7 linked regions of the Canis lupus familiaris genome follow. The protein of the gene in region 2 interacts with the protein of the main gene of each other region in a pairwise test. Links are inferred from orthologs where the notes say so. Each region holds a gene or a part of one and is shown on either strand. Other genes may lie near its edges. The genes, in order: CFAP206, ADAMTSL4, CPNE7, STK16, NATD1, LONRF1 and TOP3B.

Evidence for each region.
Region 1: the proteins of ADAMTSL4 (region 2) and CFAP206 interact in binary tests that used the Homo sapiens proteins (3 or more experiments, as listed by UniProt). The two-hybrid records come from large-scale screens. The link is inferred for Canis lupus familiaris from reciprocal best matches to the Homo sapiens genes ADAMTSL4 and CFAP206.
Region 3: the proteins of ADAMTSL4 (region 2) and CPNE7 interact in binary tests that used the Homo sapiens proteins (3 or more experiments, as listed by UniProt). The two-hybrid records come from large-scale screens. The link is inferred for Canis lupus familiaris from reciprocal best matches to the Homo sapiens genes ADAMTSL4 and CPNE7.
Region 4: the proteins of ADAMTSL4 (region 2) and STK16 interact in binary tests that used the Homo sapiens proteins (3 or more experiments, as listed by UniProt). The two-hybrid records come from large-scale screens. The link is inferred for Canis lupus familiaris from reciprocal best matches to the Homo sapiens genes ADAMTSL4 and STK16.
Region 5: the proteins of ADAMTSL4 (region 2) and NATD1 interact in binary tests that used the Homo sapiens proteins (3 or more experiments, as listed by UniProt). The two-hybrid records come from large-scale screens. The link is inferred for Canis lupus familiaris from reciprocal best matches to the Homo sapiens genes ADAMTSL4 and NATD1.
Region 6: the proteins of ADAMTSL4 (region 2) and LONRF1 interact in binary tests that used the Homo sapiens proteins (3 or more experiments, as listed by UniProt). The two-hybrid records come from large-scale screens. The link is inferred for Canis lupus familiaris from reciprocal best matches to the Homo sapiens genes ADAMTSL4 and LONRF1.
Region 7: the proteins of ADAMTSL4 (region 2) and TOP3B interact in binary tests that used the Homo sapiens proteins (3 or more experiments, as listed by UniProt). The two-hybrid records come from large-scale screens. The link is inferred for Canis lupus familiaris from reciprocal best matches to the Homo sapiens genes ADAMTSL4 and TOP3B.

The regions. Positions count from the first base shown.
Region 1 is NC_049233.1:47,142,735-47,146,869, reverse strand, and holds the start of CFAP206 (cilia- and flagella-associated protein 206), read right to left. Parts: upstream 2,801-4,135; 5' UTR 2,730-2,800; coding exon 2,699-2,729; intron 1,354-2,698; coding exon 1,241-1,353; intron 632-1,240; coding exon 548-631; intron 1-547. UniProt on the Homo sapiens protein: Essential for sperm motility and is involved in the regulation of the beating frequency of motile cilia on the epithelial cells of the respiratory tract. Required for the establishment of radial spokes in sperm flagella.
Region 2 is NC_049238.1:60,392,771-60,396,798, reverse strand, and holds the start of ADAMTSL4 (ADAMTS-like protein 4), read right to left. Parts: upstream 2,801-4,028; 5' UTR 2,670-2,800; intron 2,410-2,669; exon of another isoform or gene 2,249-2,409; intron 1,331-2,248; exon of another isoform or gene 1,203-1,330; intron 922-1,202; exon of another isoform or gene 323-921; 5' UTR 237-322; coding exon 217-236; exon of another isoform or gene 31-216; coding exon 1-30. UniProt on the Homo sapiens protein: Positive regulation of apoptosis. May facilitate FBN1 microfibril biogenesis.
Region 3 is NC_049226.1:64,449,365-64,452,864, forward strand, and holds part of CPNE7 (copine-7), read right to left. Parts: coding exon 3,442-3,500; intron 3,347-3,441; coding exon 3,248-3,346; coding exon of another isoform or gene 3,209-3,247; intron 2,697-3,208; coding exon 2,610-2,696; intron 2,291-2,609; coding exon 2,231-2,290; coding exon of another isoform or gene 2,146-2,230; intron 1,329-2,145; coding exon 1,195-1,328; intron 290-1,194; coding exon 235-289; intron 1-234. UniProt on the Homo sapiens protein: Calcium-dependent phospholipid-binding protein that may play a role in calcium-mediated intracellular processes.
Region 4 is NC_049258.1:25,668,451-25,672,406, reverse strand, and holds the start of STK16 (serine/threonine-protein kinase 16), read right to left. Parts: upstream 2,801-3,956; 5' UTR 2,706-2,800; intron 2,404-2,705; 5' UTR 2,300-2,403; coding exon 2,214-2,299; intron 1,625-2,213; exon of another isoform or gene 1,610-1,624; coding exon of another isoform or gene 1,601-1,609; intron 1,406-1,600; coding exon 1,186-1,405; intron 922-1,185; coding exon 788-921; intron 614-787; coding exon 493-613; intron 366-492; coding exon 270-365; intron 1-269. UniProt on the Homo sapiens protein: Membrane-associated protein kinase that phosphorylates on serine and threonine residues. In vitro substrates include DRG1, ENO1 and EIF4EBP1. Also autophosphorylates. May be involved in secretory vesicle trafficking or intracellular signaling.
Region 5 is NC_049226.1:42,921,049-42,925,339, forward strand, and holds the start of NATD1 (protein NATD1), read right to left. Parts: upstream 2,801-4,291; 5' UTR 2,780-2,800; coding exon 2,674-2,779; intron 1-2,673.
Region 6 is NC_049237.1:37,049,457-37,052,956, reverse strand, and holds part of LONRF1 (LON peptidase N-terminal domain and RING finger protein 1), read left to right. Parts: intron 1-122; coding exon 123-237; intron 238-3,124; coding exon 3,125-3,246; intron 3,247-3,500.
Region 7 is NC_049247.1:31,374,837-31,378,336, reverse strand, and holds part of TOP3B (DNA topoisomerase 3-beta-1), read left to right. Parts: intron 1-239; coding exon 240-396; intron 397-1,183; coding exon 1,184-1,297; intron 1,298-2,984; coding exon 2,985-3,075; intron 3,076-3,500. UniProt on the Homo sapiens protein: Releases the supercoiling and torsional tension of DNA introduced during the DNA replication and transcription by transiently cleaving and rejoining one strand of the DNA duplex.

The sequences.
Region 1 (4,135 bases), on a different chromosome or scaffold from region 2:
CACAAATTACACTGAATGAATAATTATCTGAATCTTAATTTAGTGCTAGGTCTATAGTATATGAACAGTCAGTTAATGTTCTCAGTGTAACATTAGATTAATAACAAGATGTTTCTAAAATACACATTTAATGACATTGCTACCTGCCAGTATCCATATCCATCCTTCCTTACCAACAGCCCCAATCTGGATTGGGGACAAGATTTGTTCAGCTGAAAACAGAAAAAGAAATCAATGTCCCTGGCTCGCCTGCAGTACCATTCTGGTCAATAAATGTAAACAGATGGGAAAAATTCTAAGAAAGCTATTACTTTCTGAATATAGTGACTGACCCAACTGGCACATGCAAGATGGTGACCCAGGAAGCCAGGAAAAACAACCTATGTATCTTTAGACTTTATGAGAAACAATAAATCTCACATTTTTTTTGTACCACCAGTTGGTAGGGTTTTGTTTCATGAAGCTGAAGGCAATAATGGCTAATACATATATTGTATTCAGAATTGCAAACAAATAATTTAAAATTTGAGAACTGTCGTATAATCACCTTAACAAGTTTCTGTACATCACTTTTCATGAGGGTTCTATCCATGTTAAAGCCATTACTGGGGTCCAAGACAACAGCTTTCACCTGAGAGTGGAAAGAAGCTATTAAATAATTTTATTTCATATAATTATGAAACTGGTTTGTTTCCATTTTTTAAACTGCCTCCTGATTACTCAGGGGTCGATTATTCAGCTGATTTTCTTATTATTACCCAATTCACCAGTGCTTTCATTAGAGGTTGAAGGAAGCAAGCAATAACCATCACATTTGAATATGGTGTTTGAAAAATTATGTGGAGAAATAAATTGAAAAAAGTGAATAGATTTTAGATTGGGAAACTATTTGAATATTTTATCATATTTTTATTATGTATTGTTAAATCTAAAGCAAGAATAGAGAGACCAAGGCAATGAGTAATTTTTATAACAGTGAACAAAAATACATGCTACAGCTCTGACACAACAATATTACCGATGCTTCTAAAACAAATCAAGATCTTCTAAATCAGTGTCTATAAATCTAGAATGACATGCTTCATAGAAAAAAATAATTTTTGCTAACTTGTCCAGTGGCCTCAATATGTTTTCAGCAGAGTAACATTTAGGAAAGCTTCACAAAATCTTAAGAGGGAAATCAGCACCACTTAAAGCTATTTTTCAATAAAGCAATAATTCAAAAAATATTCATTCTTACCATAAAAGCAGCCAGAGTTTCAGAAACAATCTCTCCATGGCCTGCACATTCTTGTCCTATTTCTCGAATGATATTCTTTATAACACTTTCTGCCTGAGTGGGAGGCATTCTGCCTAAGTAAAACAATGATTATTTTTTTAAAGAACTGTATTTATATATGATTTTTTCCTCTTAGATTTGTAAAGAGTCATTCTATTATTTATTAACCTATTAGTATTTATTAGCATCTATAAAAATTTAAAAACTTTTCTCTAATTTATAAAACTGAAGGACTTTGTTGATGACAGAGCAATCAGGACTTCAAATTGGAACGGAAGTATTTCCTATTTTGTGAAAAATGACATAAATAGAGCCATTTTCAAAACAGAACTGGAGCAGCCATTTCAGGGGAACTGCTCTGCATGTCCTCTTCTCTTCTTTACACCTTTGAACTAAGCCCAACTGCCAACATCCCAAGAGTCAGCAAGAACGAGAAAATCCTGTTTGAAAAGCAATAAATAAGAACTCTTGACTAGCGACCACTTCACTTACCCAATGACTGAAGTACAAATCTAGCCCTGCTTGTCAACACCAAAGAGCTCTTCTTAAAAACAACCTACCCAAACATTTTTCTTCCATAAAAACCCTGAATCCACCTCCTTTAATTGGCGAACTATTTGGGTTTCTACCCAAATCTGTACATCCCCAATTGCAATCCTTTTATCACAAATAACCGCTTTGCCTCTTGAACTGGTTTCTTGTTTTTAGGTTGACAGTCTAAATGCTGGTGATTACCAAAGGTATATTTATATCATGATATATATTTTTCCAATTTAATGACTGAACTGTATTAGGGAGGTAGATTTAATGAGAAACCCCAGTCCTATCGGTGCAGGTGGCAAAATACAGTTTTTAGGCGGAAATGTTTAGTCCGCCACATTCACTAAGTGATCTCTCATAATTACATGGGACTCTAGGAAAACAATTCTTGCTCAAATCCTCTAAATTCTCTTTCCTGCGCATCCCAGCTGGAGTTTGGGCTTTTGACTAAAAATATAAATGAAAAAAAAAACCAAAACATATTATGTGAAATATGGACATTTTGAAAGATAAACTCCTAAATTATTAATTCCATTTACTACAAACCAATAAAGGGTGGTACGTTTTAATGAGTTTCCCCATCTTCCCAAGCATCAGTAACTGAGCACTGGGATTCTTTGCACGTAGAGAGGAACAAAGGCAATCCGGGTAGATAAAGCGAACTCTCAGCATCACTAATGTTCATTTAAGGTAGCGCTTGGCATTTTGTCCAGTAGAATCAGACGGCCTGGGATCCGTGGCGACCCCATCATTTTCTAGCTGAGACCCTAAGCATTTGCTTCCCCCCTCTGAGAGCCGGTTTCCTTCTCTGAAACTTTGGTATGACTAGTACCCTCCTCCCAGATTGTCCCAAGACCTAAGCGAGCTCTGTGCACCTACTGGTTAAAACAGTGCGAGGCATAAAAGGCATAAAGTAAGCGATTAGAACAGCGGCTTGCAACAGGTACTCAGGGTCAGCGGCGCCTGCGCGCGTTCGCGAGAGCGGCGGGGGCGGGGCCGCGGCGGGGGCGGGGCGGGGGCGGGGCGGGGGCGGGGCCGCGGCGGGGGCGGGGCCGCAGGGGGTTGCTACGGACTCGCCTCCGCCCCACTTCTCCCCTCTCCCGCGGTGCCCCGCAGACACCCGAAGACTCAGACGCGCGCTCAGCGGGATGAGAGGTCTGACCTGCCGACCTGGGCGCCTCTGACCGGACACCACCCCTGTTTCCGCTGAGTCTGGGCGCCGGGAAAGGAATTCTGACGGCAGCTGAGTCCCAACCGAGGCTGCCCCGGGCGTCCAGCCGCGGGGGCTCCACCTGCTGCGCACGCGGCCTCCTCTGGCGGTACACCTGGGGCTGCGGGGCGCGGCGCCTCGAGGCCCCTCCACGCCCCGCTCTGCCCTGCCTCGGGCAGGCCGCGGTACTCCGCGTGGGCCCAGTAACCGCGGAGACAGAACGCGGAGGCCCAACCCAGGGGGCCTTGTGGGCGGAGCCAACGTGGGGAGGCGTGGCCGCGCCCAAACGCCAGAGACTTTGCCCGAAGGGATGGGCAACAATTTTTTTTTTTAAAGATTTTATTTATTTATTCATGAGAGACACAGAGAGAGGCAGAGACACAGGCAGAGGGAGGAGCAGGCTCCATGCAGGGAGCCCGACGTGGGACTCCATCCCGGGACTCCAGGATCACGCCCCGGGCTGAGCCACCCGGACTGCCCTGGGCAACAATTTTTAAAAACAGAAATGAACAAAATATATAGAAGGTCCCAAACCTGGTAGAGAAAAGCAGGCTCACTGCACCTTAGTGGTTAAGGGTGTCAAACACGAGGTTTCTTAAGAGTATTTACTTGGGTGAAAATTAATGAAGAGAAGTCTCCCTAAAAGCGGACTTGGAAGGCTGGAAGGGGTGCCTGCAAGGGGAAGCCCCTCCCACTCCACCATTAAATTATAGGAAGAATTGCCAATTAAAGACCGCAACGGAAGAATCTTCAAAAGGAAAAGAATCGTCAATTACAGCCTGAACAGGGAAGTTGTACATTGTAACCTATGAGAAATCGAATACCCCTGTACCTCAGCCAATGAGAAATCCTCATCCCCCTGGACTCTTGCTTTTCTCAAACGGACTTTTTTTTAATTTTTTTTATTATTTTTTTATTTTTTTATTTTTGAAGTCTATCTATTTGACAGAGAGAGAGAGGCAGGCAGAGGCAGAGGGAGAAGCGGGCTCCAGGCTGAGCAGGGAGCCCGGTGTGGGGCTCCATCCCGGGACCCTGGGATCACAAGCCCGGCTGAAGGCAGGCGCTTAATGGACTGAGCCCCCCAGGTGCCCCTCTCCAATGGACAT
Region 2 (4,028 bases):
GACAGAAGCAGCATCAGACATAACCGGGGCCTGCCAACCAGCCAGAGGAGGTGTTGTGACACCCCCCACCCCGCCCCGCAGCGGGCAGCCAGCATCCCGGCGCCAGCTTCTCAGAAAGCAGAAGTTGCCCATCACTTGCCCCCGCCCTGCCCAGCAGTGGCCGTCCCCTCACTTCCAGGGACAGAGTGGCCCTCCGGCTGGCAGCCCCACACTTACCTGCCCGCCCACTTCTCCATCGCTCCTCCCTGGATGCCCGGGGCAGGGGACAGAGGACCGGGAGTAAACACACTACTCCCGCATCTGGGCGCTGAGAGGGCACGCTCTGTGGGGACAGGAGCCATGTGGTCACTTCTCCAGGCGCCAGAAAGCCAGGGGGTTGGCACGGAGGGCTACTCAGAAGGGCATCTCTGAGAGAGGATGGAGGGGTGTGGGGGGAGTGGTCCACCCCCTCTGACCTTAAGGGTGAGAGCAGGAAGGAATGCTGCCCTTCCTGGGCCGCTGAGGCTGGAAGGTGGGGGGCTGACCTCAGCCTCCAGACCGTGGCTCAGTGGCTCAGTCCCCTCCTGTCAGCCTGCAGGAACTCCTCAGCTCCTCCCTCCTCCCCACTAGGGATTGTTTACAGGACAGCTTGGGCCACACAGCACACGCTCTTCCTGAAGATGATTCTGATCTGGTTTGCCCTCCTCCCTCCCAGAGGACCCCGATGGCCGAGGGAGGCATGGGTGACAACATGTGGGACACCCACTCCAAGGAGTGGACCAGAAGCCCCATGGGAGTTCCTTTCCCTACCTGCCACCCAGCTCTTTCTCCCATTTTTAACGAAGCTCCTTCTGGAACACTCAGGCATCTCTGCCGGACTCAAACACTTTGTAGCCAAGAGATAAACTAAGTGGGCTGATGATTTAATCTCTGGAGAAGCAGGTGATTTTCCCCATCCCTCTGCACTGGCAATGAGAGCTTATGTCAGGCCCAACGATGACAGGCTGGGGGTACCCAGGAAGGAAAGATGCAGCTAGAGCTGCCCTTGCTCCCCAGCCACAGGCCTATCATTCTGAGGAGTAAGGAAGTCCATCCTACCTTTCATCGTCAGCAAAGTAGAGCATGGAACCCACCCCTGGTCTCAAAGCTCTCCAGCCCCTTGCTGCTCACTCTGAGCCCTTCCCACCCTCACTCCTCAACCTGCTCTTGGTTCTGCTTTCCAGGAAAAAAAAAAAAAAATGTTTCTGTTGGATCTGAAAGGCACCCAGGAGAGGAATCCAAGGAGCTGATGCCGAGGTGGGCCAGCTCGGGGGCAGGAGAATGAGACGGAAGGGCAGGAATGTACTTGGCGGTAAGGACACTCTCAGCCCCAGTCTCCTCTCTGAGACCCCAAGACTTGGAAGTCTGTGGGAGGGTTTGCAGAGGTTGGGCCTGGGTGCACAGGGTCACCTCAGCGGCTTTAGGTTGAGAAGGGGTTGCTGATGGCTGCTCCACCCTGATGGGGGTATAGAGGCTCTGAGAAGAGCCAACGGTCCACCCAAACCTTTAGCTCTGGCCTGCCTCTGTTCCTGTGGTTGAAGAGGAGAGATGGGGGTGATGGTCACCATCTGTCCCTGTCTGCTGCTGGCTACCCTCTCCACTCCCTCTGGACAGTCTCTGCTTCTCTCTGCTACCCCGGCTCTGTATCTTGCTGTCTCTCTCTGCGGGTCTACCCAGTACACATAATCCCGTCCTGAGCTGGGTTTGGCTTTGGCAGTTCCCTGGAGAAGTGAGGGGTGGGGGGTGGGGGTGACGTGAACTCCTGGAGCCCTGGCCAGGCCTGGCTCCCTCTCTGGAAAAGTCCTACCCCACCCCCTGTACAGCTGGGCAGGGGGCCGACACCCCCTCCACTGCAGAGACAGACATACATTTGTGCTTCTCACCCCTTTTCATGTTCCTCATGTGGGGTGTCTCACTGCCCAGGGTGAGGAAGGGAGAGGTCAGAAGTGGTCACCCCGGCACCAGGCTAGACACTGGTCTGGACAAACCTGGGCTCCTCCTGGCCACAGCTCCACACTGGCCAGTGAGGATCAAGGAGAGACCCAGGCAGGGCTAACCCCTTCACCCCCAGAGGGACCCACTTCTGGGAAACGGGTTGCTGCTGCAGGGGAGGGGTGGGACAGCGTGTTCCAGGAGAGCCCCTCTCCTGGGTCAGAACTTCCTGGTCCTCACTGTGCCCTCCATTCCCTGGTCCGGAGGACCATCCAAACAGGTGTCTTTCCTTTTCTAGTCTTCGGGCTGAGCTGGATCAAGGGCAACCCCCGGCACCGGTCCCAGCGTCCCTGGCCCCAACCCCGAGACTTAAGGGGGTGGCAGAGGCACACATCCTCGAAGGAGCACCCTCCCGGAGGAGGAGGGCAGGAGGCGCCAGCGCGTGCGGGGAGGTCCTGGGTATGTTTTCCAACTTCACTCCCGCGACTTAGTAGGAATTTTGGCTGATTCTCCGACCGGGTGATGGGGCCAGAGTTCCGCAGGATCGGAATCCCCTCCCCAGGAATTCGACCCCCGGAACTGGAAGATCTCCGGAGACTACAGAGCTGGGGCCGGAGCAGCGGCTGGGGTGGCGACCGCGGGACGCGGGGGCGGCGCGGCGGGGGCTCTGACCGGGCGGGAGGGCGGGCGGCCGGGGTCTCGGGGAGGGGGGTCTGTACCTGCTCCGCGCGGCCCCGGCGGCCTTAACCCTTCTGTGCCCGAGCGCTGTCTGGAGGCAGCCTTGCTCCGCGACGGCCACTCCGGCCCCTGAGCCGCGCTCGGGACACCACGGCCTCCGGCCGCGGCTCCGCCCCCCGCCCGCCCCGCCCCGCCCCTGCCTGCTGGCGCCCGCCCGCCCCGCGCCCCTCCGCGGCCCCCAGCCCCCGCCGCGGGCCGCGACCACCCGGCGTGCGGGCCCCGCGGGTCCCTGGCGCGAGCGCTGGCCCGGCTGGGGCGGGGGCGGGGGCGGGGGCGCGGGGCGCGGGGCGGGGGGCGGGGGCCCGGCCTGCTCGCTGGCTCTGAGCGGAGGCTTCCCCCCGCCGCTCCGCGCAGCCTCGTGCGGGCGGATCAGCCCGGCCTGCCCCGGGTGGGGCTGTGGCCGCGCGGTGTGACGGCTCGGGGACCTCGACGAGCCTCGATTTCTCCATCCATAAAACGTTACACACGGGGACGCTGGCTCTGCGGTTGGGCGTCTGTCTGCCTCCGCCCAGGGCGTGACCCCAGGTCCCAGAATCCAGTCCCGCGTCGGGCTCCCTGCATGGAGCCCGCTTCTCCCTCTGCCTGTGTCTCTGCCTCTCTCTCTGTGTCTCTCTCTGTGTGTGTGTCTCTCTCATGAATATATAAATAAAATCTTTAAAAAAAAAATGTTACACACATAGGGCGTGTAGCAGAAGAAATGCGCTGACTTAGGAGTCAGAGGATCTGGATGTGCATCTTAGCTCCAGGAGGCGCCAGCTGTGTGACCCTGGGTGAAGACTTCAACCTTTCTGTGCTGCAGTTTCCTTGTCTGTAAAATGGAACTAATCTGACGTGTCTGATGGGCTGGGAGATAGGGCTGCCCACCCGGATCTGGAGGAATGCACCCCAGACTCAGGGTGGTCACACTGGGGAGCAAAAAAAAAAAAAAAAATAGGCTTTAGCTTTTTACCCTGTCCGCTTATGTATTGTTTGAGTTTTCACCCAGAAGCTCTATGTTTAGTTACGTTAATAAATAAATAATTTATACAACATGGCTGACATAGAGTAGATAATAAATGGTTACTACTATTTAAGATTTTTATTTGCCATCTACTCATGAACCATAGTGACAGATTGTTGGGTTGACTATTTTCTTTTTCTTTTTTTAAAGATTTATTTATTTATTTGAGAGACAGACAGACAGCAAGAGCAGGAGGGCCAGAGGGAGAGGAAGAGAGAAACTCAAGCAGAGTCCTTGCTGAATGCAGAGCTGGACTCCAGGCTCAAACTCACAATCCTGAGATCATGACCTGAGCCAAAACAAGAGTCCGAGGCTTAATTGACTGACTGAGCTACCCAAG
Region 3 (3,500 bases), on a different chromosome or scaffold from region 2:
ACACAGTTTCTTTTCAGCTCTCCAGGGCCACTAGTGCTAGGTGAGCAAGGTCAGCCTCTCTGGCAGGAAGCACAGAGTCCCTGCAACCTGCCCACTGCCTGTTACATAGGAACCAGTTCCCAGCAGCCAAGGGGTCCCAGGACCCAGGACAGCCTCTGCTGGGGAGAAGCTGCGTGGCCCTGGAGGCCCCAGCAGGTACAAGGGGCTGGGGTCCCACTCCCCAGGCTCTCCTACCTCATACTTGGGAGGGATTCGAGCTCCAAACCCCAAAGCAGAAAATCTCTTGTCGCTGGAAGAGAGGTGGCCCCATCACACAGGGGTCCCTGATTTCCCGGGGGTAGGGACGGGGGTGCTTTGGGGAGGTATCCACCAGGACCAAGAGAGTGGGGCTCGATTCCACCCCTGTGTGACCAGGCCCACCCTGACACTTTCCTGGGCGCCCAGTCCCACTTCGCACCACATGGGGGACACTTAGGCAGTGCACGAAGAAGACAGTGGCCTCCAGTGGTGGGGAGAGCCGCCGCCTCCTTCTCCAAGCCTGTGCTCTGGGACCACAGCCTGACCCTGGAAAGGACCGGCCTCCTGCCTTTGGTACCTCAGCTCTCTGCCACCCACCCTCTCACAGAGGGGTCTACCCCACCATGATCTTAGTTTACCCAACTGTAAAGTGGGCCACAGACCGCTCCCCATGTTTGTGTGAAGGAGAACACGTGAGGGGCAGCCCCACCGTAGCACATGGGGGTTCTGACTCATGCTTCACCTCAGGGGATGGACTACCCATGGGGAGGAGCCACACAAGGACACCAGGGTCCAGCCCATGGAATGAGCCCCACCCACTGTGGCCCAGGCACTGCCAGCCGTCCTTGGGCAGCTTCCTCTGGTCGGTGGATACAGTCATGGTGCCCACCCCCTGGGCCGAAGCCTGTGCTGGAGGCCAGGGAGGCAGGAAGGGGAAGGGGAGAGGCGGGTGGTGGGGGACAAGGAGGGTGGGGGGTACAGAGCAGGTCAGGAGAGAGGGAAGATGGAGGGGGACAGGGCAGGTGGGGGGCACAGGGTGGGTCGGGGGGGACAGGGAGGGTCAGAGGGGAAAGGTGGGTCAGGTGGACGGGATGGGTCAGGGGGACAGGTCAGGTCAGGGGGGCAGGGCAAGGCAGAGGGTAGAGGGCAGGTTGGGGACTGAGGGACAGGCCCCACCTGTCATAGTCCTGGCAGATCTCTCCCACGGCCACCAGGGCCTGCAGGTACTCGTTGGGTTGGAAGGGGTTGATATAGTGTAGGGAGCAGCTGTTGCGGGGGTCACCATTGGAGGCTGTGAAGTCGATGGCCACCTGCAGAGACCCGGGCTCATGAGCTGGGGGCCCCTCTCTCACCTGGGCTGGACTAGGCACCCAGAACCCCCTTCGGCAAGTAGGGGAATGAGCCGTGGGGAGCTGCTTGCCAAGGGGTGCAAACGAGAGCAGTTCCAGGGCCTTCCGAGGGCCCAGCTCTGCTGGGGTGGAGGACAGAGGGGAACCTGGGGACAGCGGGCATCCGTCAGTGCTGACCAATGACCCTGAAGCCTGTATCCTCAGGCAGAAACAAGCACCTCTCCAGGGAACGCCAGCCCATGGCCCACAGTGCCATCACACTGAGCCCTGGGCTCATCCAGCAGTGTCCTGGGCCCGGGGCAGGGGTGGCCAGAAGGGACCCAAGGCCATGACCAGGTCCATCCCGTCTCTGCGGCCACGCTGCCCAGGCAGGGTCTGAGAATACAAGCCCTGGGCTGGGGTCCCCAAGGACTTCCCCTGCTGGGCCACTTCCCTCAGACCATGGTGGCTGCTGCTCAGGGGAGTGACATGACCCCATGCGTCCATGAATGAGCAAAGAGGTGACACACAGGCAGGGACACCAGGCTCTCTAGCTACAGGCCAGCCCCACACCAGCAGGGGCCTGTGGCTTCTGGTGCTGTCCCTGGCAGCAACAGGGGCCACTCTGTTCTCTCCTCACCTGGGTTTCTGTGACTGTGTCTGTCCTGGCTACATCCCCTCCCGAGGGAGACCCTCTGTGCCTGTTTCATCTGCATCGGAAAAGTCGCCCCCTGAAGAACCCAGAGCCTGGGCAGGGGGTGTGCAGGACCTCCAGACCCTGCAGAAGTGCCTACTGTACCCATTTATGCTTGTCCGCCCCATCCAGGATGGGGAGGGCCCCAGGTTCTGCCGGCAGGGCGGGGAGCAGGGTCCTGTGCACTCACTGTGAAGTGGATCTGACAGCCGCCCATGATGTAGTCCAGGAAAGAGTAAACCCTGTAGAACTTCCAGGCAGGGGCGTCAGCAGGGCCCACCCGGGGCACCCCACACCCAGGCACTGAGGCTGGAGCCCCAGGGAGCTGCCCTCCCCCCAGGGTCACCCGACCCCCAGCACCCCCCCACTTCCCTTCTCTGACACCTCCTCTCCTCCATCCCTCCTCACCTCCCTCCCCATTACTGGGGACCACTGGACCTCTGGGATGGGAGGCCTTTGAGGGTCCGTCTGACAATGGGGAGACTTGCAGGAGGGGCGGTTTCGGTGGGAGCCAGCCCCCAGCCCACTGAGGGTGAGTGGGGTGTCTGCAGGCAGGGGGCGCAGCTCACCTTCAGATCTGCCAGGATGACCACCCCGGAGTTCTTGTAATGACGCTTCTTCTGCTTGTATTTGGCGTTCACGCAGTCCCACTGGGCCTGGGGGGCAGGGATAGGCAGACACCCCCACCCCAGAGTGCCAGGGCCCAACACCCACCCCAAGGGGGCAGGGAGGCCTCAAACCCCAGCCCAGGGGCACCTGGGGGGCTCCGTCGGTGAAGCGTCTGCCTTCAGCTCAGGTCGTGATCCCGGGGTCCTGGGATGGAGCCCTGCTCAGTGGGGAGGGGAGCCTGCCTCTCCCTCTCCCCCTGCCCCTCCCCCTGCTCCTGCTTTATCTCCCTCTCTCTCAAATAAATCGATAAAATCTTTAAAAAAACAAAACCCAAAACCCCCAGCCCTGAACTGCATTTCTGCTGCTGTACCGAGCGGACTACTGTCCCTGCTCTGGCCCCTGGCAGGCGTGGTCACCACCTATCTTCTTTGGGTTTTCCCAGTAGTAAGAGTTTCCAGAGCAAATCCTGCTCCGGCAGGTGCCCTACCTGCCTCCTTGTGGCTCCTCCCAGGGAACCCTTTGCAGAAGGACCAGAGCTAGGCTTTCACCCCGTTTCCACCCTGTTTTCGGGGGAAGGGGGAGAGGGGCCCCAGCTCACCTGGTCCTCCCCGAAAGCTTTTTGCATCTCCTCATAGGTGGTGGAGAACTCCCCGATGAAGTCGTGCTTTCCACGGGAGTCGTAATCCCAGACGAGGCACTGGGGAGCCCAGGCCCCCTCAGCCCGCCTGCCCCTCTGGGACCCCCACCTGGAGTCCCCATCCCCGCCCCCACCGGCCCCCCATGCTGCCCCACCTTCAGAGGCCGTGTCTCTTGGCCGCTGCACAGACTGCTCAGGGTGACCTTGAAAGGCT
Region 4 (3,956 bases), on a different chromosome or scaffold from region 2:
GCTGGAGGCTTCTGCACCCCCTGCTTGCCACTGCCTTCAGTCCTGACACTTAGCTGTACTCATTCTGTTCAAAGGGAGGAATGATACCACTTCCTGAGCAATTGAGTACAGTGTCAGTGACGGTTCCCAGGAAGGAAGTCGAGGGGGATGGGGACATACACGGTTCCTGGGGCCCCATGCAATCGAAACCAAAGACCTGCCCCTCTGCTGCACAGCAGGTACAGAGCGGTACTCCTCCCCATCCATGTGCCCCCCCACATGCTCCTCACCCAGACATCAGTCCGCTCATCAATGACACAGTGGCTCTGCACGGAGAAGAGCTCTGGGGCGCGGTAGGAGATGGTGCATCGCTGGGCTGCCCAGTCCTGGAAGAGTGGCCCCATAGCTCAAAAGAGAGGCACAGGTCATAGTCATGTGACCAAACTGGGGCATGCAACAGGAAAGGCTGAGGATGGGGAACAGGAGGGCAAAGGAACCTGGACACTCTTTTACCTGCAGGGCCAGAGCCTGGCGGGAGCCTTCCACATGGATGCAAGCTTGATTCATGGAACCCAAGTCCATTAAAACTGGCTGCCCCTCATCTCCAAGCAAGATATTGGTGGGCTTCAGGTCCCTGCAGGAAAGTGGAAATAAATGGCCCATGAACATCCCTGGATAGGGAGACTAGAATCCCTGGGGGCAAAAGAATCATGGGGACTGTTCCTTGGGAGGAGAGCAGAGACCACTCAATCCTTTTGGTGAGGCTCTTTCTTTCTGCCCCATAAGCACACTGGGCCCTCCCACTGACCTGTGGGCATAACCTCTGGCATGAATGGCCTCAAGGCCTCTGCAGATACCCAGCAGCAGCTGAAGGATTTGATCTTCAGTCAAGAAGTTGCCTTTGTCCTTCAGCCTTTCTATCTCGTTCCACAGCGTACCCCTCTGCAACACAAGTTTCCCCACGGTTGGACAGGTTTTCTGGGTCTCTGCTCCCTCAGCCTGATCCCTTCCCTGTGTCACAGCCTAGCAGCTCTTTCACCACACACACTACACACCTCACAGTCCCACTTGGGTTCCCCTAAACCCCAAATCTGAAGCGGTCCAACACAGGACATGGTCTCTGCTTCCTAACGTGCTTGGCTACTCACACAGCCCTCGGTAGATGACTCTGTTGCAAGCCCCTCCATTGCCAGGAGACTTTCTGACCTTGAAGAAGGGTAGCAGCAGCCAGGCCTCATGTTTAGTGCCCCGCTCCCTCAGACAATAAGCCACAAGGCGGAGGATGTTGGGGTGATGGAAGAGGCGATGCATGTCTGCTTCTCGTTGGGCTTCCTCCCGATCCTGCTGCTCGTGACACAGGATCCGCTTCAGGGCGTAGAAGTGTCCATCATGTAACCCCTCCACTAGGTCCACATAGCTGAACCCACTGTGGGCCAAAGGGGTCAGTGAAGGACCACGGTCATCTCCCACACTGCTTGGACCCAGAGGAACTCCCTGGGTGGGGAGGGGAGGGGGTGTCTTTCCCAGTCAGCAGAAACCCTCCCAAGACGTGGCTTCAGGAGAAGTCTGAAGATTTTACACTTTGAGCTCAAGGGTAGGAACACAGCAATCTTTGAGGTACCTTGGTCATAATGCACAGCTCTGCACGTGACAAATGCTCCGGAAATGTTACATGAGTAAGTAACAGTCAACATCTGTCAAGTGCTGTGAACCGGGCCCTGGGTGAGATTATTATTATTATTTTTTCTCTTTTTGGTGAGATGATTTCTATGCACTATCTCATTTAATCCTCACAACTCCATCAGCGACAAAAGATAATTATCTCCAGGGCAGCCCGGGTGGCCCAGCGGTTTAGCGCAGCCTTCAGCCCAGGGCCTGACCCTGGAGACCCAGGATCGAGTCCCGCATCGGGCTCCCTGCATGGGGCCTGCTTCTCCCTCTGCCTGTGCATGTGCGTGTGTGTGTGTCTCTAATAAATAAAATCTTAAAAAAAAAAAAAAAAAGATGATTATCTCCATTAAGCAGATGATGAAACCACGGCTTAAGGTCACACCAGGTGGAGCCAGGAGGCCTGGCTCCAGAATCCACTTTCTTGGCATTCGGGTTGCTAGGCTCTGTCAGGGGAGCTAAAGGATGCTTTACAAGGATGAACCTCCTGAGGCCCTATCACGTGCAGACTGCTGTCCTTCACTCACCAGAACCCTGGGGGCTGGCTAGGCGATTTCAACACTCACCCCTCCCCCAGTTTCTGGATGAAGAGGTAGCGCTTGTTGTCAATGAGGACGGTTCCCCGGGAGCAGACACACAGCGCGTGGCCCATAGCGCCTCAGTCATCCTCCTCAGGGGCGGTCCGGGGCTGCCGACGGCCGCGTGCGGGCTGAGGGGGCTCTTCCAGGCGACGCGCTGGGGGCCCCGCGGATCATGCTGGAAGGCAAAGGACGGCAGGGTCGTGGGCCAGGCACGACCCCCGAAGTGCCGACGTGCAGAGCTGGCGCCCGGGCCTCGGAACGCAGAGGAAACGAGCCTTGGCGACGCCGGCTCGGGCACGGCCGAGGTCGGGTGCCCTGGAGCCTCGGGCCACGCCGCGACGCCCAGGCCGCGTCCTCGCCGTCGGGCCGCCTCGGCAGCCGCGGAGCGTGGGGGCGAGGCCCGGGCCCACCCGGCGGGGCCCGCCCCGGCCTCGGCGCGCAGAGCCCCGGGAGGGCCGGCCCCGACTCCCCACTGACCTGGCTCCGGCCGGAGACGAGCGCCGCGGACCGGAAGGAGCGTCTACGTCATCAGGCCGCGCCGGCGTAACGGCCCGCGGTATCCTAGCAACCGCAGGGCATCCGGAGGATGTGGGGGCGCGGAGCTGAGAGGCCGGGGGCGGGCTAAGGCGCGGGGGAGCACGGGTCCCGGGACCCGGTGAGGGTTCCACACCAGGCCTTCAGTAGTGGGCAGGACGCAGGCACCCGCGCCCAAGGGGAGCAAAGCCGGGCTCGGCCCGAGGCCCCCCAGGCCCCCCGTCTCCCAATGCCGGAGGTAGGAAGCTGCAGTCCAGCCCCGAGGGGCGGGGGCCGGGCGGGGGCCGGCGGCCTGGACCCCCACAGCGCCGATCGGTGCACCCTTCGGGGCTCAGGCCTGCATCCCACTACCCTAGTTTCAGTGGTTAAGAGCTTACTAGCTGCGTGACCTTGGACGACTTAACCTCTCAGAGCCTCGGTTTCCCCAGTTGTAAACAAGCTCTAACAGTACCTAAGGTTAGGTGCCCGTACGGGGAGGCCAGGCTGCAGCTCCCAGCTCTGCTAAACTAGCTGCGTGACCTTGAGCAGACTATTTAAAATTTCTGCCTCTCAATTCCCTCATGGGTAAAATGGGAGTGATAATTACCAACTGCACGGAGCTTTTTGAAGATGAAGTGAGATGTAAAGTGCTTAGCACACTATCTGACACAGCCTTGGTGTCAATAAATAGAAGTTGCTGTTATTTTTATTATGATTCTATTTTTCTTATCCTGGTCCTTACATCCCAGGCTTGGGATTGTGAAGGCAGGAGTCATGGAAATTCATAAATTCCCAAGCCTTGGCCCCAGGTAGTTGTTCTTGACAGCTCTCGCTGAGGCAGGGCAGGGATAAATTGAAGAGCGGTGGACATCCAAAGAAGACAGAATGGCTGAGGTGGTCTCTTTTGCTGTAGCAGGGCCACTAGGAGAAAAAAAAAAAAATCCCATTTATAACTTGGTTCCTACTTTCACACCACTGGGAAGATTGATTCCGAACCTGTTTTAGCCCCCTGGTTCCGACATTCATTCATCTAGATTTAACCTGCTATGTACCGAGTCCCGTGCTAGAAGCTGAGGATGCAAGATGGACAAGGTACTCTTCACCCTCAGGGAGCTCAGTTTAGTACCACAGTGCTTCTCAATCTTGAATGCCTTTCGGATCGCCTGGGAATCTTGTTAAAATCCAAATTCTGATTCTAATAGGTCTGAGGTAGGA
Region 5 (4,291 bases), on a different chromosome or scaffold from region 2:
GAAGTCAGGGCTTACCCTGCCCCAGGGTTGGGGATCAGGGAGCATGCAGAAAGCACCAGGATTCTAGGACCCAGATGACCTTCCTCCCTGCAACACGTGGGACACTCAGCCCTGGCTGGGAGGTCAGAGCTAAGGCCAAGGAGGGACTTCCCAGGGACAGGGGCTCAGTGCTGCCTTAGATGCCTACTGGCTATGTGCCCTGGTGTCCCCACCTATGACATACAGGGCCTTCGGTCTTGCTGCCTCCTCCACTTGGAGTGCTCTGTCTGATGGAGCTCTCCCTTCTTGCCTCCTTTAGGTCTTTAAGTAACTGGCACGTTCCCAGAGTGGCCCCCCTGGACCCTGGATTCTAGGCAGCAGCCTTTGCCTAACCAGGCCCTTGCCTTCTAGGACACTTGACACTTCACATATTGTCTACTGCCCGTCTAGACTGTCAGCCTACCAGTACTCAGCACCTAGAACAATGTTTGGTACACAGTAGGCACTCAATAACAGCCTGTGTGAGGGATCCCAGTTCTCCCACCTCTGAGTACAAGACCCTGAGCAAGCCAGTCACTTCCCTGTATCTAGGGATCCTCATCTATAAAACAGGAAGAGCAGTTTCCCCTCACCCCCCCCCCCCCCCCCCCCCCCCCCGCCACATGCCCAGAACCCGCCCGGGACGCAAGGACTCGGATGCAGTGGCTCAGCCTCTGCCATCGCCCACAAGCGGAGCTCGCTAGAAACTCATTGGTACAGCTCTGCCAGGGGGATGGCCCCAGAGGCTGCTCTGGCTCTCAGGCTGAGCATTCACCTCCCTCGGTAGGCACCCTGAGCTAGTCTCCAGGGCCTGCCCTGCTGTTCGGGGGGCTCTATGGCAGGACGTTACCCTCTGCAGCTGAGGAAAGGCCCAGGCCCAGACATGGATGCTCTCACCCTACTACTCCCCATATACACAGCCAGACCCCCCTCCCAGGCTGGACAGAAGCTGGTGGCCTCCCACTGCTCCCTGGGCTTGGCTGGGGAGCCCCAGTCCATGATGGAGTTAGCCATTCAGGGAAGGGCAGGAGACAAGGTTAGAAAAACGGCTAGGCACATCCAGCCTTGACCATTGCCAATCCTGGAGGGGTGTCCTTTGGCTGGACTGATTGGCAACAAAAAGGAAAACCCCAAACTTTCTGACTGTACAGAGGAACCTCCTGAGCCCCTAGGGAAACACAGGCCTCCCTGGAACCTCAGAAAAGAAGCTGTGAAAAGCCACAAGGACCCTCCACACAAGTGGCCAACTGGAGTGTCAAGGTCACCTGGACCACAGTGAGCACCACAGTGGTGGAAGAACCTGCGTCCACACGGAAAGAACACGGTGCCTGGTCAGTCGGGCCTGGGCTTGAGCTCTGGCACTTTGGGGGGTCACTCCTCCCCTACCGTTCAAAACTCAGTTTACTCATCCGTAACGTGGGGTGAGAATGCCCACATGAAGGGGATGTTGTAGCAGGGATGCGGTCCGTCCTTGTCCCTGCCCCAGCCCCTCCTGACTTCCCGTGCAAGTACAGGCTGGATAAGCCCAGCTCCAGGGCTCACACTAGGGGGGATCCTATCCCAGCTCTGCCCTAACTCACTGCCTGACCTTAGGCGAGCCTCTCCCTTCGCCGAGCCTCTGTCTTCCCTTGTCAGAAATGGGCACAATGGCCTCTGAGGGCCCTTCTGGCTTGGACACTGCCGCAGGGGGGCCCAGCTGGGATGGAAGAAAAAGTTATTAATGCAGAGAGGGGGTGCATAGAGAGCTCCTGATCCTAGATCTTATCATTCTATTTTCTGTCCCCTCAGACCTCTTAGCCAGGAGGGGGCACAGGCTAGTAAGTGGTGGAAACTTTCTTTACAGGAAATGAAGACTTTGCTTTCTGGTTTTCAAAACCACCATCAGTAGAGCAGCACTTGCTCTGCCAGGGCTATTCTAAGGCTTCTTTACTCTCATTATTACAGCATTTTGTCCCTCCAACCAGGGCTCAGGTGTGCACTGGTGTCACTCCCATTGTAGAGATGGAGAAACCGGGGCACACAGAGTGGAGGTCACTTGGCCAAAGTCTCAGAGCCAACGGACCGATGGTGACACCTTCCCCTCTATCGCACCCCCCCCCCCCGCCCCCCGTGAAGCAGACACCCCTCTCTCCCTCACCCCAGGTCTGCCCAGGAGATGCCCCCAACCCGGGTGCAGAAAAGCTAAAGTTCCCAGGGGCGGCCAGAAGCCGTGTGGCCACCAGGGAGAGGCAGGAGGTCACGGTGGACTCACTCTCCAGGACTCCCACAACAGCCCCCAGGGGGTGTCCAACACCGGGACACGGCGGCGCTGGAGCAGGTGCGGGTCCCCTGCGGCCTGAAGCTGGGTGCTGGCGGCGGAGGACCCGGGCCGGCCCTGCTTGGACCTCTGCCTGCCCCGGGGCCCCCTCCCCCCACCCCTGCCCCGCGAGCCGGCCGCGCCCCCGCCTCGCCCGCGGGCACAGCGCGTGGCCTGCTCCCGGAGCGCGGGGCGGAGCGGGAGCGGAGCGGGGCCCCGCGGAGGCCACCCCGCGGCGCGCGCTCGCGACGCCCCTCCCGGGCCCGGGGCCGAGGGCGCGCGCCCCAGCTAGGGGGCGGCCTCGGCGGGCCCCGCTCGCTCGCAGACAAAAGGCGGGGGCGGGCCGGACGCCGCGTTACCGTTGAGCCGGACGGTGAACTGGCGGCGCCGGCGGTCGTGCTCCACGCGGATGGGGCAGCCCTGCTCCAGCGCGCCCAGCGGCACGGCGGCCGCCGAGTGCGCCATCTGCGCGCGGGGCAGCGCCGGCAGCGGCCGCCGGGACCCTCGGGCCGAGCCGGCTCGGCGGGGCCGGACGCGCGGAGAGGTGCGCGGGCCCGCGGCGGGGCGGCGGCGGCGGCGGCGGGGGGGGGGGGGCCGCGGGACGGCCGGGGGACCGCAGGCGGCGGCGCAGAAACTGACACTCGGCGGCGGCCGCGGCGGCGGCAGCAACAAAAAAAGGAGGGGGGCCAGGAAATCAGCTGTGAGGTCACGTGCGGCGCGCGGCCAATGGGCACGCGGCCTTTCTGTTTTGATACATTCCACTCGACTCTTAAAGGGGCCGAGCGCCTCCCTGGCCGCGTGCCACTCGTCCCTCCAAACAAAACAACGCGAGCCGCGTCCGCCCCGGGGACGCTGTGCCCTCTTGCGTTGGACCCGCGAGCCACTTGGGCCCCCTACACGGACCCCTTCTCAAGAACATGAAACGACCTATATACGGGGATCTCTAATCCTCCCCTCGAAGCCACCAGTTATTAAGCACTTGCTGTGTGCGCAGCGGGTGCGGGGCAAAGCCCTGGTAAGCTACACCTGCGCTCAGTGAACATTTTTTTTTTTTAATGGTCTAAAATAAACTCTTTTAATTGCACATTTGCGTCTCCGGTCATCTGTGGGGTGAGAAACCCCCCTCCTCATTCCCAATCCCAGCTACATGGGTACAATCTGAGGTCATGGTCCGGCTGTCGGTGAAGGGGTGAAGGTGGGTGCAGGGTTGGCTCAGGGATCCGCACCAGTCCGTACCTGTCTCTTCAGGGCAGGGGGCTCAGAGAGCTCAGACCGTGGTCGTACTTGCACTGCTTCAGGGCCTCGCCGAAGCCCTCACACAGGGACAGGTCACTCTGAGTGGTGGAGCAGTCCAGGAACTGCCTGACCTCTAGGCGCAGGGCCCCATCTGCAGGGGCTGGGGCCCAGTGCGGGTGGGGGCCTGCTGAGCGGCGGGCTGGGCGGGCTCCGAGCTGCCCCCGCTGAAGGCTCCGGTCGGGGCGCTGCCCACGACATGCCCCACAGCCGAGCCCACCGCCACCCCGGCTGCCGTGGACGCCATCTGCGCCATCAGGCCGGGCTGGCCCGACGGGGCGGCGGGGGCGCGGGCGGGGGCGCAGAGGGCGCGGCGGCGCGGCTGCGGGCAAGGCGTAGGGTTAGTCCCCGCCGCCCCCCCCTCAGTGAACATTCTTATCACGAGCCTGGAAAATAGTTCTGCTTGACTCTAGTTTACAGATAAGGAATAGAGGCCCAAGGCACACAGCTGCAATTCATAAGCAGCAGGGGGACGGTTGATGTTGCAGATGCGGCACCTATACGCAGGTGTGACTGTGAGGAGGGTCAAACCTGAGAAGCCTTGTTTGGGGTAGCCCATAGGGCGATAGGGCGGATGGTGAAATGCCGCCTCACCCCAAAAGAGGCAGAAGTGTAGGAGGGAGCTTTGGAGATCCTGGGATCCACCCCACAGATGGGGAAACTGAGCTCCAGAAAGAGAGCAGA
Region 6 (3,500 bases), on a different chromosome or scaffold from region 2:
CCCTTCCTTCCTCTCCTGCTCACTAGATCCTCCTTCTTCTTCAAATAGAGGTCTATTATTTATTCACTTTTTCCAATGTATAGTTTAACGTGAAAACTAACATGTATTTTGGTTGGTTTCAGGTTGTTTTTTGAGCCAGTAACAACCCCTTGTGGACACTCATTCTGTAAGAATTGCCTTGAGCGTTGTTTAGATCATACACCATATTGTCCTCTTTGCAAAGAAAGCTTAAAAGAGGTAAACATTTGTATATTTATCTGTTTATTGGTCTTAAGCTTGGCAACATTGATTTCTGTTTGGCCATAGAAATAGTGATTACCACGTTCAGAATAAGTTACTTTATGTATGCTAAGTGACCAGGAAGGATAACGTTTCATTACCCAAATGCTAGTGGTGGAGAAAGAAGAATTTAGAGAGCATAGGGGAAAGTTAGGTGGTCCTGGAGGCCAAGCCCCATGTACTTTTTTTTTAACAAGATCTGGTGTGATCAAGTACCTGGTGTAGAATGGGTTCAATTTTAATGACAGTATTGGGGAAACCCAGTTGCCCTGCCTTCCATCCTCCTCAGTAATAGGCTAGATTTTGGCCCCAGTTCTGCCCCCTTTAACATCTGGACAAACTCTAATAGAATTTTTTGCCTTGATGGAAATGCTCTATACTATGCTGTCCGCATGGTAGCCACTAGTCACATGTAGTAATTAAGCACTTGAAATGTGGCTAGTGTGACTGAGGAACTGTATTTTAAATTTTAATTCTCATTTAAGTAGGCAGAGGTGACTGTGGCTACCATTTGGGCAGCACAGCTCTAAAGAGTGGTATATGGACAGAAGAGCTTCCCATAGCCCTTGTATAGCCCATGTGTTAAGGAAATAGCTAGATCTCAGGTGCATATCCTTCTGTAACCAATGGAAAGACAACATTCTACCAATCCTGCTTGGGTGACTGGAACCCCCCCCCCCCCCCATAAGGTGAGGCCCAGGCATCATAATTCTGAGCTCCAACTGCAAGGATGGCATTGATTAGGGAGAGTGATCCTGTTTCTTGTGGTGATAGGATTGCTCAAAAAAAATAAAAAGTTGATAAGACATTTTGTAAATGAATGTGTGTATTTATTTCCTATATAGAAAACACAGCTCTGTACAGATATGATACCATATGTGTATTATTAATTTGATATATAATAAGCTTGTATGTAAAACATTAAACCATATACAAATTTTGTCCAGAAACAAGATAAACTCATTCTTAAAGAGTTTGTTAGTTACATTTCAGCTGATATACTTAATGTTTTCAGGTGAAGTACTCCAATCATGCTGTTTTTCTTGTGTTTCCAGGTTTTTAGATACTCTGTAGCACATTTATCACACTTTTTCTCTAATAATTAGACACGATGGCTTTAAATAAAGATACAATTAACACACTGTTTAAAAATAACCTTATCCTGTGTCTTAAAGATATCCTGTATAGTAGGTAAAATCTAATATATATCTTAAAAAACAAATTGATATGCTCTATAGTTTTACTCTTTTCCTACTTGTCATTTTCTTTTGCTCATTTTTTCATTTGAATGTATTCTAAAGATAGGATTTTTATAGCAACATAATAGTTCATTGATTTAACATTTCCCTGTTGTAAGTTGTTTTGTTCTTTTTTTATATATACTACACTTTGTGTCTTTGACTATATTTCCTTAAGATAAAATTTCTGGAAGGTGAATTATTAACCAAAAGCCATATATTCATAAGACTCTTAAAACCAATTACTGGGTTGCCTACATTCCCCAGAAATATTGTACAGATTTAATTTCCTATCAGTAATGTAAGAGAGGTGGTTATTTCCCCAAATTTAATATAAGAGTATTACATTATATATTATTATTATATAGCCCCATGGTTTTCAAAATGTGTTCCCCTTCACCTGGGAACTTGTTAGAAATACAAATTCTCAGACCCTACACTCCACAGCCACTAAATCAGAAACTCTGTGGGCTAGGGCTCAGCAATCTGCATTTTAACAAGCCCTGATTCGTGCTGAAGTTTGAAAACCACTACTGTTACCCGTTTCCCAACCTCCCACATTCCCTCCTCCTCCTCTGTTCTTCATTGGATAATGACAAACCCTTATTTTTGCTACATCTGCAGATTTTAAAAGTATGGCTTCTCTGTATCTTGTGATTGTCTCCCAAAAGTCATTCCTCACTACTTTTATGAAATTTATATTGGTCATTTTTGTGTTCGAAAATCCTGTACACACCCTCTGACCCGGTCCCTGGCCTTAGGCAGTTTTTAAACTTATCTACAGAAATATAATGTCTCCTTGTCCATGTAATGAATACGGTGCAGGGTGTGGTAACTGCCTTTTATGTGGTAAAGGCGGTAGAAATGGGCTTCTTGCGAGCCAGAAAGATAATTAAGGCAGACTTCACGAAAAAGGTAAAGATGTAGCCAAGCCTTGCAGGATAGGCAGGCTTCTCATAGCAGGAGGGAGAGAGGCACGGCTTTTAGCAGTTACTAGAGAATGACAGAAATGTGTGAGTGGCAGTTTTGCAGAGTATTGAGGGAGCAGTACAAATGCACCATTTTATATGGAGAGGGACACAACCTCTCGCTGAGGGTCTGAGTGATTGATAGTAGGTGATGAGGGAAGCAAAAATCTGAAAGAAAAATTATCTGGAAACTCTGCCACTGAAATGGAACAAGAAAGGGAATAGTTTTGCTTTTCTTAAATAAGGCACTTGCCTTTATTTTATTAGCTTATTTTTGTTTCTCAGTTAAAATGCTAGTTTGAAGTACCCAGAAGCTGCCCGATAGAAGTTGGCCTTTGGTGTGGGAGAGGGCAGGGCAGGCCTGAGTGCTGCTAATAGAGGATTCGTGGCCACAGCCAGACAAGGGTCTTCTGTATAGGGCACGGTTTCCACTGCAACCGTGTACCTTTATTGGTCTCAGCACAGCCTGGACAGGTTGACCTGTTTAGCACCATCTGTTGTCATGTTCCCCCCCTCACCCCTTAATTCAGAATTGACTGTATAAATATGTAATAAAGGCTTTACTCTATTCAGTTCAACTGTTTTGCCTGTTTTATACCATAGGAAAAGTACTGGAATGTAAATAATATTGTCTTTTAGTATCTAGCAGATAGGAGGTACTGTGTCACACAGCTGTTGGAAGAATTGATAGTGAAGTATCTGCCTGATGAGCTGTCTGAGAGAAAAAAAATATATGATGAAGAAACTGCTGAGCTCTCACAGTAAGTTTCTTCTCATAAAGTTAATGTAATCCCCACCCTTTGACACAGTAAGGCGACCTCCTCCCAGCAAGCTGGATCCTGTCTGCAGTTCAACCCAGTCTAGCCAAAGGCGTATTTTAAACAAATAACTGGTCAGCTCCCCCCTCTCCTCAACAGACAGAAGTTTTTTTTAAAAGTTTCTTTAGTAACTTCCAGATGTTCCACTGGGGGTTGCCGACTCAGCTCTTCACCCCGTTAGCAGGCTTTTAGGCGGA
Region 7 (3,500 bases), on a different chromosome or scaffold from region 2:
GGGGAAACTCTTCTCTCTTGCCTTCCGTGCCATGTGTGCAAACACATGATTCCTCTCTACCCACACACACCTTTCCCGGCCCCTGTGCTGAGCCACGTTCTCACTCTGTCCCCTGTCTTCTGAGCAGGGGCACTGCCGCCAGCTGGCCCCATGCTGGACTCAACGTGGGTGATTAACGATGGTGGCTTTGAGTGCATACGTGACCAGAATATCTTTCTCTACCCCATGCCTCCTTGTAGATTTCAAACTAAGTACTTCCAGGGAAAATATGGCAATCTAGACAGCTCCCTCATCTCCTTTGGGCCATGTCAAACCCCTACCCTGGGCTTCTGCGTGGAGAGACATGATAAAATCCAGTCCTTCAAACCGGAGACGTACTGGGTGCTGCAGGCCAAGGTTTGCTTTCCCTTCCCTACACACGCTGGGTCTTTCCAGGTTTGGGCTGTGGACTCTGAGGGTCTTCTGTCATCATCCGGCCCATTAAACCCCCGAGGCCAAGGGCACAGGAGAGACGCCAGAGTGGTCTGTGGGGTGCTCAGGGAAGGGATCCCAGCCTTCATAGGCCTGAATGCATTGAATTTAGAGAGGCAAGAATGAACTCAGCCTTGAGGGGGAGGGGGCCGGGTAGATCATGCCTCAGAACAGTCAGCTGTGATGGTCAGGTCCGAGGTTTGGACCAAGGGCCATAAGCCACTGACTTTCAGACTTTTTGAAGTCTTAGAACCATTTCTCCAAATAATGCCGTCCGTGTAAGCTTCTTACAAGATTTAAAGCAATACAGAGCTGGTCTGGTTGACATAGGGCTGGGGGCCCCTGTAAGGACTACACCTAGTGCTGGCCAGGTGTCAGAGGGTGGGCAGGGATGGCATTTGTGACGGAGGTTCCAACACCCTTAAGGATACAGCAGCCTTGGCTCTGGGCTCCCCTTACGAGACTACTTGCCAAATCTCAGGGGAGAGGCCTGGAGTCAGGGCAGCCTTTCCTTGGGACAGGGCTGGGTCTCAGCCTACATATCTGTGCACCTCTGCACACCTGTATAGGTATGGCTGTGAGACCTTAGAGCCGGGACCATTTTCTTCCCAGAGGAGGACCAGCTTCATCTACCTCGATTCTCTTCCCTGGCAGTGTGTGCTCACCTGGACATTTTCTTTCCCGTCTTCTGCCTTTGTACTTTTTCCTATAGGTCAATGCCGATAAAGACAGATCTCTTCTTTTGGACTGGGACCGAGTACGAGTGTTCGACCGGGAGATCGCACAGATGTTTTTAAACATGACAAAGCTGGAGAAGGAAGCCCAGGTGGGCCTGCCCCACGTGTATCTGTCACGTTTGCTCGGGGCAGGGGTAGACCTTGGATGCCTCTGGCTAGAAGAGTAGCTCGTGACCTAGGGTCCCATCTTTCTTTCCTTTCTGGAAATAGACATCTTGTAGAAAGATGGACAGTTATTGATGCAAGCGGTAACTGTGTGCTACATCCCTGCTCTGTACCAGGCATTGCCCCACATCCACGACCTGCAGCCCCTATCCATGTGACCCCAGGGGCATTATCTCTTTTTGGCAGGACTCCATTTCACACCAATGTGCCTTTTCTGTGATACGGACGCTAACAACTCTAGAGGGACCTGTGTGCATGTCAGTGAACTCGGCCGAGGTCACACAGCTAGCATGGGATATCCCAGGCTCAGTCAGCTTTCCTGGCCTTTATGGTGCTGTGTTTTTTACTCAGGTTTTTTATGAATTTGAGAGTCATGTGCTGGGCTTTTAGGAAGAAGGTGATGCCACCTGGCAGGGGGCTGGCTGCCTGGGGTGGGGGCAATTCCACCGCCACTGCAGTGGCCCACAGCCTTACCAGCTACCACAGTCGTGCAGGTACGGCCTGGCCTTCTTCAGCTGCCTTCTCGTCCTTTTCAAGCTTTCCTTGGGTGCCCTCTGCTTAGACATGCAATTGATGCAGGCTTCCAGAACTTCCTCCAAAGCTGCTTCACACTTTTTCTTTTTTTTTTTTTTCTTAAGATTTATTTATACATGAGAGACACAGACTGAAAGAGAGAGGCAGTCATAGGCAGAGGGAGAAGCAGGCTCCTTGCAGGGAGCCCAGTTTGGGACTCGATCCCAGATCCCAGGATCACAACCTGAACCGAAGGGCGCTGCCCAATCGCTGAGCCATCCAGACGTCCCTGCTTCACGCTTTTATCCTTGATCGTGTTCTCAGGATACCCCTTGCCACCATCTCCAGGTCTCACCCATAGTGATCCCAGCTTCCACTGCAGCACACACCCATTTTGGACTAAATTTGCCCCCACATTTGTCCTTCTGGAATCCACAAGGCACTGCCCTGATGCATGGCTGGTCTCTGTGGTGTTAGGAGGGGCAAAGCATCACAGTTGTTTGGATTGTTTTAGCCACAGGCAAGACAGTCCTCTCTTCTGACAACCGTTCAGCCCAGAGTTTGAAGCTGATTGATATTTTATTTAAACTACATGCTGTTTACAAACATTTCAAAACAGTTACCAACATTGGAAAATTACAAGATTTCACATAAAAGGCCTGATTTGCAGCTTTTGTTGACAAACTGGAAGATGTAGCAACACCAGTAACCCCTGGTGGGAGCACTTGGGTGCACCGAGAGGCAAGTGGCTGCCCAAGGTGGGCCTGCACTCCGTGGCCTGCCGCAGGCCTCACCTGCCGTCCCAGTGGCCTGGCTGTTTCTGGCTCCTGTAGGATGAGTTTGTAACCCCTTCTCCTGGCTCTTCCCCATTCTTCTATGTTTCCTCTTTCCCTAGAAAGTTCCCCAGAAAAGAATTTTCTTTTTCCCTTCCTCGGACTGAATACATATTCAAGTCTTGAGACCATGGTGAAGAGTGAAACTGAGAAGCAGGGAGACCAATTGAATGAAACCAGACCCTTTGGCCCACACATCCTGATTCTCTATTGTGGTGTCTTTGCCCCTGCCACCCCAAATCCCTGAACCTATTCTGTCTTGTAGGTGGAGGCCACAAGCAGGAAAGAGAAGGCCAAGCAGAGGCCCCTCGCCCTTAACACTGTGGAGATGCTGCGTGTCGCTAGCTCTTCTCTGGGTATGTAGGAACGTTCCTCTAAAGCCCACAAAAGACTTCCTGGGTGGGACACCGTGAGCTATTCAGCCCTGGTGCAGCGCCTGGGGTTGCAGGGCAGCGCTGATGCTCTCACCTCTGCCGGCACTCTCCCTCCATGCTCACCTGTGCCGAGTGTTTCCCCCCCCCCCGCACCTGTGCTGAGTAGCCCCTTGCATGTTAACCTGTGTCAAGCCACAGCCCACCTGCAGTATCTTGCAAGGCTTAGTGGGAATCTGAGCCTAATGCTGAGCTAATTTCTCTTAAATTCCAGAGTGGAAATAACTAATAACAAACTAACAAACATGCAGGAGGATCCTATTTCAGAGGATTATTGGTTAATACTCAACAGCTTCTTTGAATTTACGTGGAGAAAATTCAGACTGTTTTTTATTACTAGACATCCATGC